Linked DNA regions of Styela clava. The protein of the gene in region 2 purifies or fractionates together with the protein of the main gene of each other region. This does not show direct contact. Links are inferred from orthologs where the notes say so. Each region holds a gene or a part of one and is shown on either strand. Other genes may lie near its edges.

What was found.
Region 1: the proteins of U3 small nucleolar ribonucleoprotein IMP3-like (region 2) and U3 small nucleolar RNA-associated protein 25 homolog purify together in Homo sapiens (affinity purification with mass spectrometry; 3 studies listed by BioGRID and IntAct, with this or other methods). This does not show direct contact. The link is inferred for Styela clava from reciprocal best matches to the Homo sapiens genes IMP3 and UTP25.

Annotation. Positions count from the first base shown.
Region 1 is NC_135253.1:6,532,857-6,540,936, reverse strand, and holds U3 small nucleolar RNA-associated protein 25 homolog, read right to left. Parts: upstream 3,189-8,080; 5' UTR 3,118-3,188; coding exon 1,003-3,117; 3' UTR 561-1,002; downstream 1-560. Other genes in the region: 18S rRNA (guanine-N(7))-methyltransferase-like, read right to left, coding at 1-560. UniProt on the Homo sapiens protein: Component of the ribosomal small subunit processome for the biogenesis of ribosomes, functions in pre-ribosomal RNA (pre-rRNA) processing. Essential for embryonic development in part through the regulation of p53 pathway.
Region 2 is NC_135256.1:9,271,873-9,278,535, forward strand, and holds U3 small nucleolar ribonucleoprotein IMP3-like, read left to right. Parts: upstream 1-4,692; 5' UTR 4,693-4,799; coding exon 4,800-5,345; 3' UTR 5,346-5,958; downstream 5,959-6,663. Other genes in the region: transmembrane protein 26-like, read left to right, coding at 1-88, 842-966, 1,413-1,735; cation-dependent mannose-6-phosphate receptor-like, read left to right, coding at 5,985-6,151. UniProt on the Homo sapiens protein: Component of the 60-80S U3 small nucleolar ribonucleoprotein (U3 snoRNP). Required for the early cleavages during pre-18S ribosomal RNA processing. Part of the small subunit (SSU) processome, first precursor of the small eukaryotic ribosomal subunit.

The DNA.
Region 1 (8,080 bases), on a different chromosome or scaffold from region 2:
TCTGGGTATAATTGAAACACTGCTCTGCTACCTTGTCTCATAGCAGAATATAAAGTGGAGAAAAAATTATAAAGCCTTTTGGGAGGATTATGGGATTTTACATTTGAATAACATAACCACTGAATCGCTGATATACTGATTACACCATCAAATGTTCCAGGTTTAAAAAACAAGCCTTCACCAGCATCGGCATTTATTATATCACCTTCCACTTCACGTTCGACAGCAACATTGAGCATTGCTGTACTGATATCAAAACCAATCCAACAATGTCCCATTTCTGTTATAGTTTCCCCACTTAATCCAGAACCACATCCAACATCTAAAATAAAACATGAACTATCCTCTGGCAAATTGAGTAACTCCAGAGCACGTTCTGTCATCTTTGCCTGGATCTCCATCATTCTTGAGTTTGTAGTATATTTTTGTGCCTCATTTTCATTGTAAAATATCTCGGGAGGAGCCTGAAGTTCAGGCCTTTTGTGAGATGACATTTTTATATTTACATTAAATATATGAAATCTAAATAAAACAGAAAATATGAAATTACTGAATCCCATGAATGAATTAGGTCCATCCAAGTTTAACTTTAAGTATTGACACTTCTATACACATTTTATGACATATATTCTCATAGATGATATGGCCTATTAAGTTGATGAATATTTGCTTAAGACAAGTGGCTTTAGCCTTTATTCACAAAAATCAACGGTCATAAGGTTTTATTTAATTATTACACCAGCCAACACATTGATATACTCCCCAGACAGGAATAAAATGTATATGCTCAATGTGACTTGAGAATTAAGTAGCGGGTGATGTTGGATAGCTTGGATGAAACCGTGTTCCAACTAGGGACATGAGTAAGAGGCTTCATTGAAGGTGTGGAAGGCACCAAATAACACAAAATTTCATAACTTTGGGAGAAAGAGAGTCAAAAAACACATTGAATATAGCCCATTATTGGAAAATCAACAAATTGCCAACATAATTAATTATATATTAATCGTCATTTGTCCCAGCAACAAACATATGAACAGTTCTTGTTGAAGTTTGCAATTGACGACAACGGGACATTCCAACTGTGGAAGCAAGTTTTTGGGTATCGAATTTTGTATACATAACATTTACTGAACTAGATGAAGTAACTCCATCTCCTTGGTGTGAATCTCTCACCATGTTACACAATTCTACATAGAACAAAGGATAAGTTGGCAATTCATAAAAAATAAGATGCCGCATTCCCCGAATTCTTGCCCTGTTATAAAAATGAAATCTTTCAGTATAAAGCATTAATGGGCATTTTCCCGTATAAAACCGACGTTTGGTCTTGTTAGCAGCGGATGGTGTGCTGTAGTCATTTATATGACCAAATATGGGTCCAGACCCCTCTTTTTTTTGTTTTCTCATAAAATTACGAAGACGGACAAAATCAAAATATTGTGGTACATAAATCAGGGTATGTGACATGCTTGGGTCCTTGTACTGCTTATATAATTTATCAACAAAGAAACGAAAGCGTGCTTCTGAAGACTCGACCAAACTTGGTGCGGAAAGCTTGTGGAATACTTGTGGAAGTTGCTTAGCAATAGCACATATATTACCCTTTTCTGGAATATTCTCTGTTTTAACAAAGCCCTTATAGTTGCAACACCATTTAGTAAAGATAGATGATATCTGTGGCAAGTGTACATTCGATATTACTACAGTTTGTCTGTAAAATTTGTTTCTACCATCCAACGAAAAATTTCTAACTCTTGAAAAGTCTACACCATGTGAATCTTTTGGTGTAATATTCAAATGCTCAAATATATGTAAAACATGTTCCCAATTCTGCATTAAGAACACATCAGTTTGGTCCATAATAACAAGTTCAATAGATGACAAGAAATCATGTTCATGGTGTTTTTCTCCTTCAGAACCAATTACTGTTCTGAGTCCAAGTGGTGATGCCACAATAATATCAGAGGAATAGAATGGTGAGTAAAGGCGAACTGAGTTTCGTAACAGTGCTATTCCAATTCGAAAATGTTCATCTGTATTTCCAGCAAATAAGCATTGATAATCTTCCGGCTTTTTTGAAAAACCTCCATCGATATCATCTTCACTCTGGCTAAATTCATCGCGAAATCTTTTCTTATAACTGACTTCAAATTTATCGCCTTGCTTGAATAATTCCAACATGATATTAATCACTCTCAATGCAGTTTCCTTGAAAGGAACTAAGATTAAAACTTTTGGTCTTGTGATACCTTGGTCTCGATATTCAGATTGTTCACGTTGTTCCGGAGTCATTTTCCTTAATCTGGATGTGTTGAGTAATACTTTGGCACGAGATCTAATGACATGATTTACAGCATGAAAACAATATACACCTTGAATAGATGATGACGTATTAAGAAGATTTGTATCTGTATAAGACACATCAACATATGAACTCAATAGCGTGAATAGCTCTTTTTGCTGCAAGTTAAACAAATCATTGTGTTTATCTTTTTTCGACTTTGTTTTATTTCTTTTATCAAATTGCATCCAATTATCAATTACAATTTTTCTGATATGATATGTTTGTCTATAAGTTTCAATGTTTGTGTTTTTCTTGATTGGAACTTTGGGAAGAAATTCATTTGTTGCTGGATCTTCAGATCGATTCATAAACTGAATCTTCCCTAGCATGGGCCATTCCAAAGTATCTCTCCTTTGAGGTTTGTTCTTTTCTATATGTTGTACAAAATAATCAATATTTGTCTCAAGATGTTGTTTGTAATAATCACAACTGAGATTCTTAGATTTATCAAAATTGTCTTCATCATCAGACTCACCAAATATCAATATTTCAGCAGAGTCGTTATTGTCATCTTCATTTTCAGAATCACTGTTTTCCATAAGAACATCAGTTACATCTTCGTTGTCCTCAGATTCATTAGAACTGTCATCCTGTGGCTGGCTTGATGATTTCTTTTCAAGGATTCCTTCTTCTAACTTCTGCCTTTTAGGGATAACATTGTCATCTTCAGAATCAGTTTCTATTTCTTCTTGGTGATTATTCGTTTTAACCAAAGAAATCAAATCCACATATGGATGTGAAGATTCATCCTCTGATGAAGATTCTGACATTTTAGGCTTAAAACATTTAATATCTACATGCCATGGAAAAATCACTCATTAAATTTGGTGTTAATGGTAGGATTACATAATAACAGTCCGTGATTCAGCATACTAATATAACAACAAAATCCACATGTTACGTAGGTAACACTACATAGGTTAGGGTACAGGGGTATATAGACTATATATAGAGCAGAGTCGGCCAACCTTTTTGGCCCACGGGCCATATTTAGTTTACTAATAATTGCGCGGGCCACTTAACATAGTAATTATATTCTAGTTTTGCTACACTGACCAAAAATTTATAAAAAAACAAACAAAACCCTCGCACCAAACTTTCTCAATAATAAGAACAATGAAGAAAACGAAGATACAGTAAAGTCAACAAAGTTTTTTCTACACGTAGACATTTTAGTGTGAAGTTTGGCACTGTTTTTCACTGAAAAGGACGATGTAGCAATGCGAAGCCAATTTTCCATATGACTGTCAGAAATTAGTGATCTCAGAGGGAATTTGACATGGTTTATCTGTGAAAAAACTTGCTTGTACGAGTACGTGCTGCCAAATATGAGGTCATTAAAACTGCCATTCTGCCCAAGTGTGTAAGCTACTATTTATGTATCGATTTCTTCCAGTTGGGGATGGGCTAGCAGAGCGCATTTCAGGAAAATAAACAAATTGTTTGTATCAAATCTTCATATTAACTACATCACTCGAAAAATAGAAGTTTTACTCAATTTTTTTTTATTTCGAAAATACAGCGCGGGCCACTCAAAACTCCTCGACGGGCCACATGTGGCCCGCAGGCCACGGGTTGGACGACCCTGATATAGAGAGAAAGAATCAACCAGAAAACACATAATAATAACAAAATACGGATACGACCATTTACGGTCATCTGAGTCAGTTACCACTCATGGCTGCATGGCAGCAAAAGATAAAAATAAATGAATGGGTCTCGACAAAAGATAACCATATGGCTTTCGCAGTTCAGTCCGTAGTTTGTTGTTAAACGTGCTCCATTCAAACTATGGGTACCTGTACTCACGCATTTCTGCATTTGGGAATCGTCGCAGTACCGGTATTTCTGTATTTGGGCACTGATCAGAATACCGGTGTTATGGCACTAACTTTGAACTTGTTCATTTATGACCAAACCATACCGGTGCATGCAGCCCACTCACACAACCAGCAAATCTACGAATCTACAGCATCTGCTACGGTACGCTATGCGCTATATCACTGCGTTGCACATGCTGGAAAAACAAACACAGAAGGCGCGCGTGGACATCTGGCAAACTTCACAATTTCACATACGGTACATAGAAAAAAGTGGAGTTTACTAGATCAGGAGTTCTCAAACTCTTGGTGTTGCGGAGCACTTGAAAGGTTGAATATTATTCGCGGAGCCCCAAAATAAATGTTAAAATTGTTACTTTTAGATTAATATTCCTGAGCAAGGTAAAAGTACTTTACTTCACTAGTCATAAATAAATTTAAATTTTATACTAAAGCTGTAAATTTGACACTTGACAAACATATTAATAAATTAGGGGTCGAATCTTTTCCCTTTTGACATTTTTGGAAGACTTAAAAGGCCGCTAATAATGTGCGCAATTTCATTTTGTTACAATCGCCGATTTTTTCGTCAGTTTCAAACGTCTTTACGCCGGTGTTTATTCTCCCTAAATCAAAAATTTTCCTCGGCATATACATGTATTGTTACACAATGACGACGTTAATTGCTTTTTTGTTCTCGTGGGGAGTTCAATGTGAAAACATGTTACCATATTGTAGTCATCGGCGACGGAATGCTAAAAATAATAAAGAGATAAATCCGCAACTCAAATTTCTTGATAGAAAAACGGCATTCTAAAATAATAAAACTGAAACTTTAAATGGAAGATCACACGTTTGGTTTCAGCAGACTCACCTCAGATTGAAAACGCTTTTATAGACATTGTAAATCTCAAAATTTGGTGTTATGTTAGGTTTTCATCGTAGTACCTGCGGAATCGAAACACAGTCAATTGTGCGCTCGATGTACCTTTTTTCCCATTCTGAAACTACCGACGGAGCCGAATGCAATAAAATAAATTTCAATTGTTCGTATTTTGCCCAGACATTGTGATTTTTTAAACGGCGATATCTTGCTTAAAAATAATCTCAAGTGCAAAAGAACAAATCAAGTTTGACAAATCCCAAGATCGCAAAAATACGACTCCAATTTATATATAGTTGGCAGTTTATCACATATTTTATGTTATTTTAGAATAGTATTTTTTCCTTTTAGCAATCCTAATGGTAATCTCGAATCAAACGTGAGTAATGATGAGCACAATTACATTATATAACGACGAGACACGTTAAATGCTCGAATCGGTCATGAATTGAATATTTTACGCAACAGAAATCTTGTTATCCGTTTTTTTAATCGCGAAGAATGTTGCGCGGAAATTTCCGATTCCAATTTTGAACCACCTCCCTCTTAAGAATCCTGGCTGCGCTCCTGCTTATAAATAATGTCATTTTTTAATTCCGCCTCTTTACCATATTTCGAAGCTATATCGTTGTCAGATTTTATCAAAGCTGTTATTGCTTCTTTGAACAGTTACAAAATTTTGAGTCAGTATTTTGAGGAGTAATCGAATAGCTCGCGGAGCCTTTGGGTTTTTCTCGCGGAGCCTTTGGGTTTTTCTCGCGGAGCCCTGGGGCTTCGTACGGAGCACTTTAAGAACCTATGTACTAGATCAGGGGGCACCAAACTTTTTTGACCGCGGGTCGGGTATGACTCAAACTGTGTTGAAACGGGCCGGACAAATATTTTTGTCAATGCAATACAATAAATTCACAAAAATTGGGAAATCTATTCAACAATATATATTCTACATTTCTGAAGACTTGAATATTAAATTCTATATATATCGCAGAATATAGATCGAGAACATCCTAGGAAAACAAATATACAAGATTTCTATATATAGACGACAACCCTGAGTTTAGCTGTTATCAAAACGTTGCACGACTACGGACTGCCTGCTGTAGCATGGAATTCCATGAAATTTCGACATAATTTAGATAAAATAAACAACTATTATCTGGTATTTGATTTTTATTCATTAGAGCATAAATTTCCCAACATTCGGAGCTTTTAAAATTACGCTCAAGTTATACGTGGTGCAAATTAATGATATTGTCTATGGACACCAATAAAAATTATGTGGACGTGTGTATTTCTTTCCTGACTTGATACATGATACTTACCAATTTTTATGGAGTTTGTACAACCAGAACATCGTTAAATTTTACCCATAATGAACCACCGTCAAACATCATGCACAACTCCAGCGTTTATTTGCGACGAACTTTCGGCGGTGTCAAGACCGTTGCCAGAATAAAATCATGAAATAGTCTCAATATTCCATAGATGTGGCGCAGATTGAAAGGTTAGTGATTGATATGTGTTTTTTTCATATTTATTACAGTTCTTATTAAAAAAGCTTTTTATAAACTGGATATTGTTTTCTTATTTTCACTCAGATCTATCCACTGGCGCAGTTTTCATTCAAATCGGATGAACTTTATTTTTTTTTTGTAACTTACCTACATGAATATCCGCATTTAAGCAGTACAAAAATTAGTGTGCCTTGTGAAATTGGAGCAATACGCGAGGGATTACAGTACTGTTAGCGCAAAATGCACATTCGACGTTCATTTTAGCACGAAGACGTAAACAGTTTCGGCGAGTGCATCTTTCGCAGAAAACGTTGCCTCCCGGTAGAAAATTTTAGCCTATTTTGTCACAGCTATTTCTTAGACTAATTTTTCATTACTACTATTAAAACTACAACTCCTAAAGAGGCAAATGATGATTGACTTATTTGATTGATACTTAAATTTCCCAAACACAACCAAAAACTAACGAATAGCATTCAGAATCGCAAAAACGAAGTATTTTTTACAACCACGACTGAAAATCTGTCAGGGTGACGAAAGTGTCTGAGCGAGAGAGATTTATTGATTCGTCAACCACAACAAATATAAATATGAAAGCATAAATACAAATAAATAAACACTGTTTATGGTAAAGACTGGAGGGAGCGATACGACCATACGGTCATCCAAGTCAGCTCCCCCCAAATTCACTGTTATGCATAAGATTCCCAGGTAATGGATGACTATGAGTGTAACGGCTAATTATAGAGTAATATACACTTAAATAATTGTAAAAAGCACAATTACAAGGGGCTATTGATTTAAGTTAGTTATCACGCTCATATGATCATTGATCCATGCATATTAATTACTAGGGGTCTGGAGAATTACTAATATGGTGAACAAATTGTGGTAGTTATACCCAATGAGCGTATTTGGATAATTATTATGGTAAATGAAAAGGAATATAAGTGAAAAAAATAAAAAATTAAAATATTGGATTTACGAAGATAGGATTAACTTTGGTTTATGAAAAACAATTGAAACACAATATGAATATGGAGGTCAATTTCAATGACTACTGAAAGGGATCTTTCAAAGTACAAGAAGGGGGTTTGTAATCAAATATCTAAATAACTAATATCATTAATTAACAAAGGATGAAAAATAGAACTCTGAAACCAAATCGGGGTCTGTAGAGAGCGGATGCCAAAAGGCCCACTATTACGTCATTTTTTTTTGCATCTTGCTGATAGGCCAATGTTACGAAATAAACAAGGAGGACGATGCTCGAGAAAATTTTTCTTGGAAAAATATTTGTTCACTTTTGTGTGTTATTGGGGGGCCGAATAAAATGACGACGTAGTTTGGTGACCCCTGTACTAGATGACTCTCTGAGTCTTTTCACGACCCCGCGTTAACTGCAACTAAACAAGCCGGTATCTGTTTGTCATTTTGTTACATTATATTTTTCATATCGCGCAGTGTTTTTGCATGACGAAAATAAATATTCGAATCTGAATTTAATGATTGCGGT
Region 2 (6,663 bases):
CCCGAAGAAATAGAATGGCTGGGATCAGTATCAGAAGGGGAGAAAGCAGCAGATCTCGGACCTGTGCAGAACCCCGTGGTGGAAGACGGTAAGACAATTACAAAACCATACGTGTATACATTTTTCGGAATCAATTGCTTGTTTAGTAGAGAGAAAATAGGACGACTCAGAAGATATGGTAGTTGTAGCCGAGTTGCGTCTAGTCATTGGTTCGGTTTCGTTGAGATGATATAATATGGGAGTACGTAATACCCACCAAATATATATGTTACTATTGACCACTTTTTCTGTTATTCAAAAATAATATTATCTTATATCTGCCAGTAAAACGATTTTCAGCTTACAAATTCAATATGTTCGATGTTATTATTTCAAATTCCTTCCAAATTTTTATTACATAAAAATGGAAGATTTCTTGTACTGTATATTCTTTGGAGGGGTGGTGGGTCTTTTTTTCATCTTGATTATTTATCTTTCGTTGTGTGATGTTTCTCCTTCTCCTCTTCCAAGAGTAAACTTCTTACAACCAGCAACATTTGACCTCATGGAAATAGTATCAACGTACATATATAATAACAATATTTCTTCTAACGATACTCCGTTGATTGATTAAGCAAGATGAGCTTTAGATTATAACTATGACACTCCATTAACGACCAAAAAAATACTAGTTTTTAAGGTGGATGAAACTCTCGAAATGTTAAATCTTTAATTCCGAAACTAATGAATGCTATACATTTGTGAAGTTTGAAAATTTGTGGCTTCATAACGGGAAATTGCTTGGGCAAATAACTCTTGAACGGGTAAAATGGCAATGGTGGTCTTCATTTTTCTTTTGCAGGCGCGTTCGGAAATTGGGGTTTTGGTCTAGCGATTTCTGGTCAAACAAAGACGTTGTCGGGGTGCTGTCATCAACCGCAATGCAGGATCTACCTTTTTTTATATTTCGCCTCTTTCTGTTGTCGGGTAAAATTTTGCTTACTTACGAACACTTAAATATTACTTTGCCTCGGTTTATTTTCCCGTGGTAGTAATTTATTGATTATATTCAATATACTATAGTTTACAATTGAAATAAAATATGATTACGTACGATGGTACGGACCGACCACTCACCTTAGCAGGGTGGTTACGTGGTGAAACTGAAACAATAAATTAGTAAAATGAGTATTCCCATATCCGACCAGCATTGGAACGTGGTTCATACTCTATCGAGAAATTAATACAAACGATCTTATTCTTTCTAATTGTAATATAATATTTTTCCAAATACTTCAACCTATTTATTTTTGCACAAAGTTAACGGAGTGAAATGATTATTTGATTGCATAATCATTAAATACCTTGCTATTATTACTATCAGACCTAATATTTGTAATCTGCATCACCAATATTCGTGTCTTAATTTACAGTTATGGGAATCTTGAGCCACACAATGGCATTCTTTACTTGCAAGAATGCCTTGGTTGTTGTTCTTCAAATCCACCGCCTTCGTATTATATATTCGGAGATTAAATACGATGGTATAGAAATAGCAAGAGCACACTTGGAAAGAGATGGAATCAGTGTTGTTGAATTAAATCGTGCTGATATTGTGGAACGGCTAAACAGTAGGAAACCAACCCATGAGATGGTGGCTACTTCAGATTCCCTTGAATTGCCAGGTTTACCTTCAAACGAGCATGAACTGCATTGTGATAATGATACATACTCCACTGACGGAAAACCATCGTGAAATATTTCCTGGCGCAGGCAGTGAACTATTATTTGTAGGCCTACAAACTTCTTATTGTGCATAAATCTAAGATTAGACGATATCAAACTGTGGACGTTTTCCGTACCATTGTTAGTCATTTTTAAACTCACGGTAACATAAAGTCGCATTTAATAATATCATCAGTGTTTCCTATAATATTTTACTTTATTTTCTAAGTGCATCCAAATTTATTGGATTTGTAATGTAACTTAACATTGAGATATAAATTTTATAGATCAGAATGAAATTTTATTTCATTATTTTTTGGTAGTTAAAAACCAACAAGAATATAGTTCGGTTCCCAATGCCCATTACGCTAATTAAAACTTTGTTTTGGTAAGGTGCATAATTATAACTTTTGTTGGAATATTGTATATATGACCAAAAAGGAATGAATGCTACCCTAGTGATACTCATATATATATATATATATATATATAAAGTAGGCTACCAGGCTACCCCATCTATGTAAATTTAAACTTTCCCACCGCTGTGTTGTTTTATTCTTGTCGTTAACATGTGCATTTTCTGTGGGACAAATCTATCGATTCATATATTTGCTTGCGATCGTGGGCAACCGTATAGCTGGCGTAATAATAATTGGGTCAAGGAATTCCCTGTCGGGGTGGTACTAATTAATCATTCCTAATACATTAAGCCTTATCGCGTGTTAGCAAGCAACGTGGAATCTCAGATAAAATATTATAATGTTTTCTGAAATTAACCTTGTGGATGTTTTTCCGACCCCCCCGGATGTTTTCTCACATAGTTTACCAGTGTGGTGAAAAAGTTCGATGCTTATTTTGAGATTGAATTAGCGAGTTAAAGCATGTAAACGGGTATACATATTCATAAGCACAATTTTGTTTCAAAATATTTAATTGGGCATTATTTTTTTTCAAAATATATTGTATTGATTAAAAAATGTTGAGTTTTGCAATGTTCAGCTCTAACAACTATAACTAATCGATGACCTTCTGTTACTAATATATTTTCGCTACATTCATTTACATTTTCTTGACCTCCTGAAGTAGGCTATGCGCACCAAGATGGCGCACATCCTGGACTTAGGTTGTGTACCAGGTTAGGGTTCAGGTTATGCGACATCTTGGTGCGCATACTTCCGGATTACCCATTTTCTGCTATATCTGCAATTATTGATATCCAACCTACCGGTATGTACACTCTTGACAAGTCAGTCATTTTCTTGATCAATGACTATTTATATGATGTGCGCCTGCTTAGGGGCCGATCAGTTTTATGTGAATTTATTTCCTTTTCATTCCGGTACCTGCTACACTACACTGCTTTTATGCATAAATATATTTTAAGATAATCTACATCTGTACAAGCTGATAGACTACCGCTACCGTAACGTTGTCATGTACCAGTAGCACAATGCACAGTGTCAGCTAAACTCTTGAATTGAAGTACTTGAACCTGGTTTTCTTCGTCACTGTGCATAGCTAGTCGCTACTACTTCACATTGTAACCATGTGGGCGGCTACCGTGTTTCCCCAAAAATAAGACAGGGTCTTATTTCAAATTTCTTTCGAAGGGCTTATTTTGGGGGGATGTCTTTTAATTTATCAAAAACAAAATTACAAAATACAGAATTGCGAGATTTTCAAATTTCAAATATACAAAATATGAAAATAGATATCCATTTACTTATAAATAAGACTTATATTAGGATAGGATTTACATATTTATCCCAGGGGAGAGGAAAGCCGGTAATTGTTACGTCGCCTCTATGTTGTTTCTGACTTGACTGCGACACATTCTGTGCCCTTGGCCACAAGTTTTGTGACTACCAATGATTTATCCATGGGTAACTTTTAGACTTTCTGAGAATTGTTTTTCTTAGTCCAGTATTGTTTAATATATTCGAGTGCCTCATAAATTTTTATAGTCTTTTTATGCGGGTTAGTAGATCAGCATTTCTTTATTTGACACTGGAAAAGTAAAAACTTGCTTATGCGTAAAGGGGTTTGCCCATCGCGGAGGGTTTGCCCATCTGCGTCGGTAAGCGAGTTATCCGTCTGCAACGCCAAACTAAAAGTCCTGGTTGAGAGCTTTAGTCATGTTTTCCTCAAGATTTTGTTTCTGGAGCTACAAAATGACCGAAAATGCGTTGCTAATGATGCAAATATGTGAATCATTACCGCACACCAAATGATGTTGGCAGGTTTGGAAATATACTGACGTGAAACCCATTCTAAATAATCTGTATCCTGCATACAACGTCATTAGTTCTCAAAGTCCAGCTCTCCCACGAACGTGCGGACATTTTGCTTGTTACTTATCGATTTTAATCGGTAAGTATGTTGATAGGTATTTGTCTGTTTGTCTGTCTGTCTGTCTGTCTGTTTGTCTGTCTGTTAGATGTAGGCTAGGCGATATCTCACGAAAACGAGATTGGATCTGCAGCAAATTTTGCATGTGCATTCATCATATCTCGTACCTGAGGCCTATTGATTTTGGGCGAATTGTGTCGTATAATTAGCGAGTTATCATTTAATTAGTAATGGGACACAAGGTGTCACTATGGAGTAAGAGCGCTGTTTTGAATCCCCTAACTTTCGATCGATAAGTCTTCGGTCTCTGACCAACATTCTCGTTTTCCTTGTTATTCTGTCTCTCCCGTTCGACAAGATGTTCCTTTTGCGTGTGCGTTATTGTACATTCGTATGAAGATAAATAAATCAAAATCTGCGGTAGTCATTTCATATCCATGCCAAGGTCAACGATGCGTTAGTATTTATGTACGTTTGCTCTGGTTATATAGCGCATACATCCAGACCGATCCAGACCAACGATTAACATATCAGATTAGACAAATGGACAAGCCCACCATCTGTTCCGCATGATTTCACATTTGATGAACATGCACTGAACTGGAAATATCTATATCTCTGTGTGAACATGTCAGAGCTCGTGATTTCCGTCGCCAGATTGTGGAATCAGCGTTTCGTTCTGTGGTGAAGTGTACGGTGGATTCTGTTTGTCATTATTTGATCGCTTCGCGTAGTATTTGTCGACCATGAGGCAGTTGAAGTATCACGAAAAGAAGTTGTTGAAAAAAGTAGATTTTTTCGCTTGGGAAGCGGATAACAATCTTCATGAAATAAAGATTTTAAGGAAATATAGGATACAAAAACGAGAAGATTACACGTCATATAACAAATTGAGTCGGCATGTGCGATCGATAGCGCGCAAACTAAGAGATCTCGAAACCGATGATCCTTTTAGAGAAAGATGTACTGCAAAATTATTAGATAAACTTTATAGAATGGGATTAATTCCTACGAAAGAGTCACTGGCATTGGTGGACAAAATAACGGCGTCTACATTTTGCAGGCGACGTTTACCTGTCATGCTCGTTAAGTTGCGCATGTCGCAGAATTTGAAAATGGCCACGGAATTGATTGAGCAAGGACATATCAGAATTGGAACAGATGTTGTAACAGATCCTGCATATTTCGTCACTAGAACTATGGAAGATTTTATAACATGGAAATCGACGTCTAAAATACGAAAGCACATTATGGAATTTAATGACGAAAGGGATGACTATGATTTTGCATAATATGACTGAAATGTGTTAGAACCTTCAATACTCTCTTGTGTTGGTGCATCAACTCTAACACAGAACGGGGGTGCAAGATTTTCTGTGATGATTTTTCATTTACAAAGCTTTTTTTGCAGCATTGGAAGCATTTATATTGATTATAACAATAATTTATTTATCAATGTAATGTTTCAATTATTTGCAAAATTTCTAGATATATTAATGCCATTGTCAAGCATTACTTTTTGGAGACTGAATATTGTTTGCCACAAACATATGTAAAAACATTGTACACAAAAACTCAACGATTAAATTATTGTAGAATGCGTTATCAAAATGTAGTTTTTTTGTTTTACACTAAAATAGTAGCTGAAAGTAATATTGCAAAATCATATTTTGAGTTTTTGTAATAATAGAATAAAATAGGTATTTTGGGATTTGAACGCCATTTTTAACTACAAATATGCTCGAAAGAAGTGCTCTACTCTGTTGTATTACAGATCCTTCAGCCGCTATTTTTATTGTGGGGTTCTTCAAATTCAAGTACTGACTCGTGTTAATAATGGTCTGAATCGATATGCGTTAATTGATTTAGAAAATTACTTTAAACTTTTGATCAATATTTGTTTAGTGTATTTATCACTATATTCTTCACATATGAAACATTACGAGATGGATGCTTTGTCAAACCTCAAATTGTTGAAGGTACTTTTTCTGCTTAGTTTTGGATATACTCTTATTGTTGCTGAATGCACGTTAAGTGCCCAAAAAGATTCAATATCCTCACGACACATCTCTAGTTTGGATCCACTCAAAGACAAAATGTAAGTTATGCCTAAAATAAAGATTTTGCTTTAAAGATTTCATGAAATAAAGACTTTCCAAATACCTCTTAGTCCAAGGTTGCGAGGTTGAAGGGCCGCAATCGGAGAAAACCCAAAAGTGATCAAAACATTGCGAGTTTACTCACTTTAAATATATGCATGAGAGTTTATTGTCCTAATCAGTTTTTCATGGAAACAATATGAAACCTTTAGTTATTTTAAAATTGCTTCAATCAATCAAATCGTTTTTATCCGCCTTTTCGGAAAAGCACAATAGAATGAAAGCAAGAAATATCACGGAATATTTGTATATATTCATGCCTTTGCACCGAATGGACAGGATAGGGCACCTTGAAATGGCTTAAAACTTATGGATGCGAAACATTTTTATGGAGAACAGCATCGCTCCAAGATTTTTCTGAGAAATATCAGGGTAGTTTTGGTATCTATCCCGTGTTTCGTTTTGTGAAGTCGCTTAAAATCATATTCTTTCGTGACAGATATTATTTGAA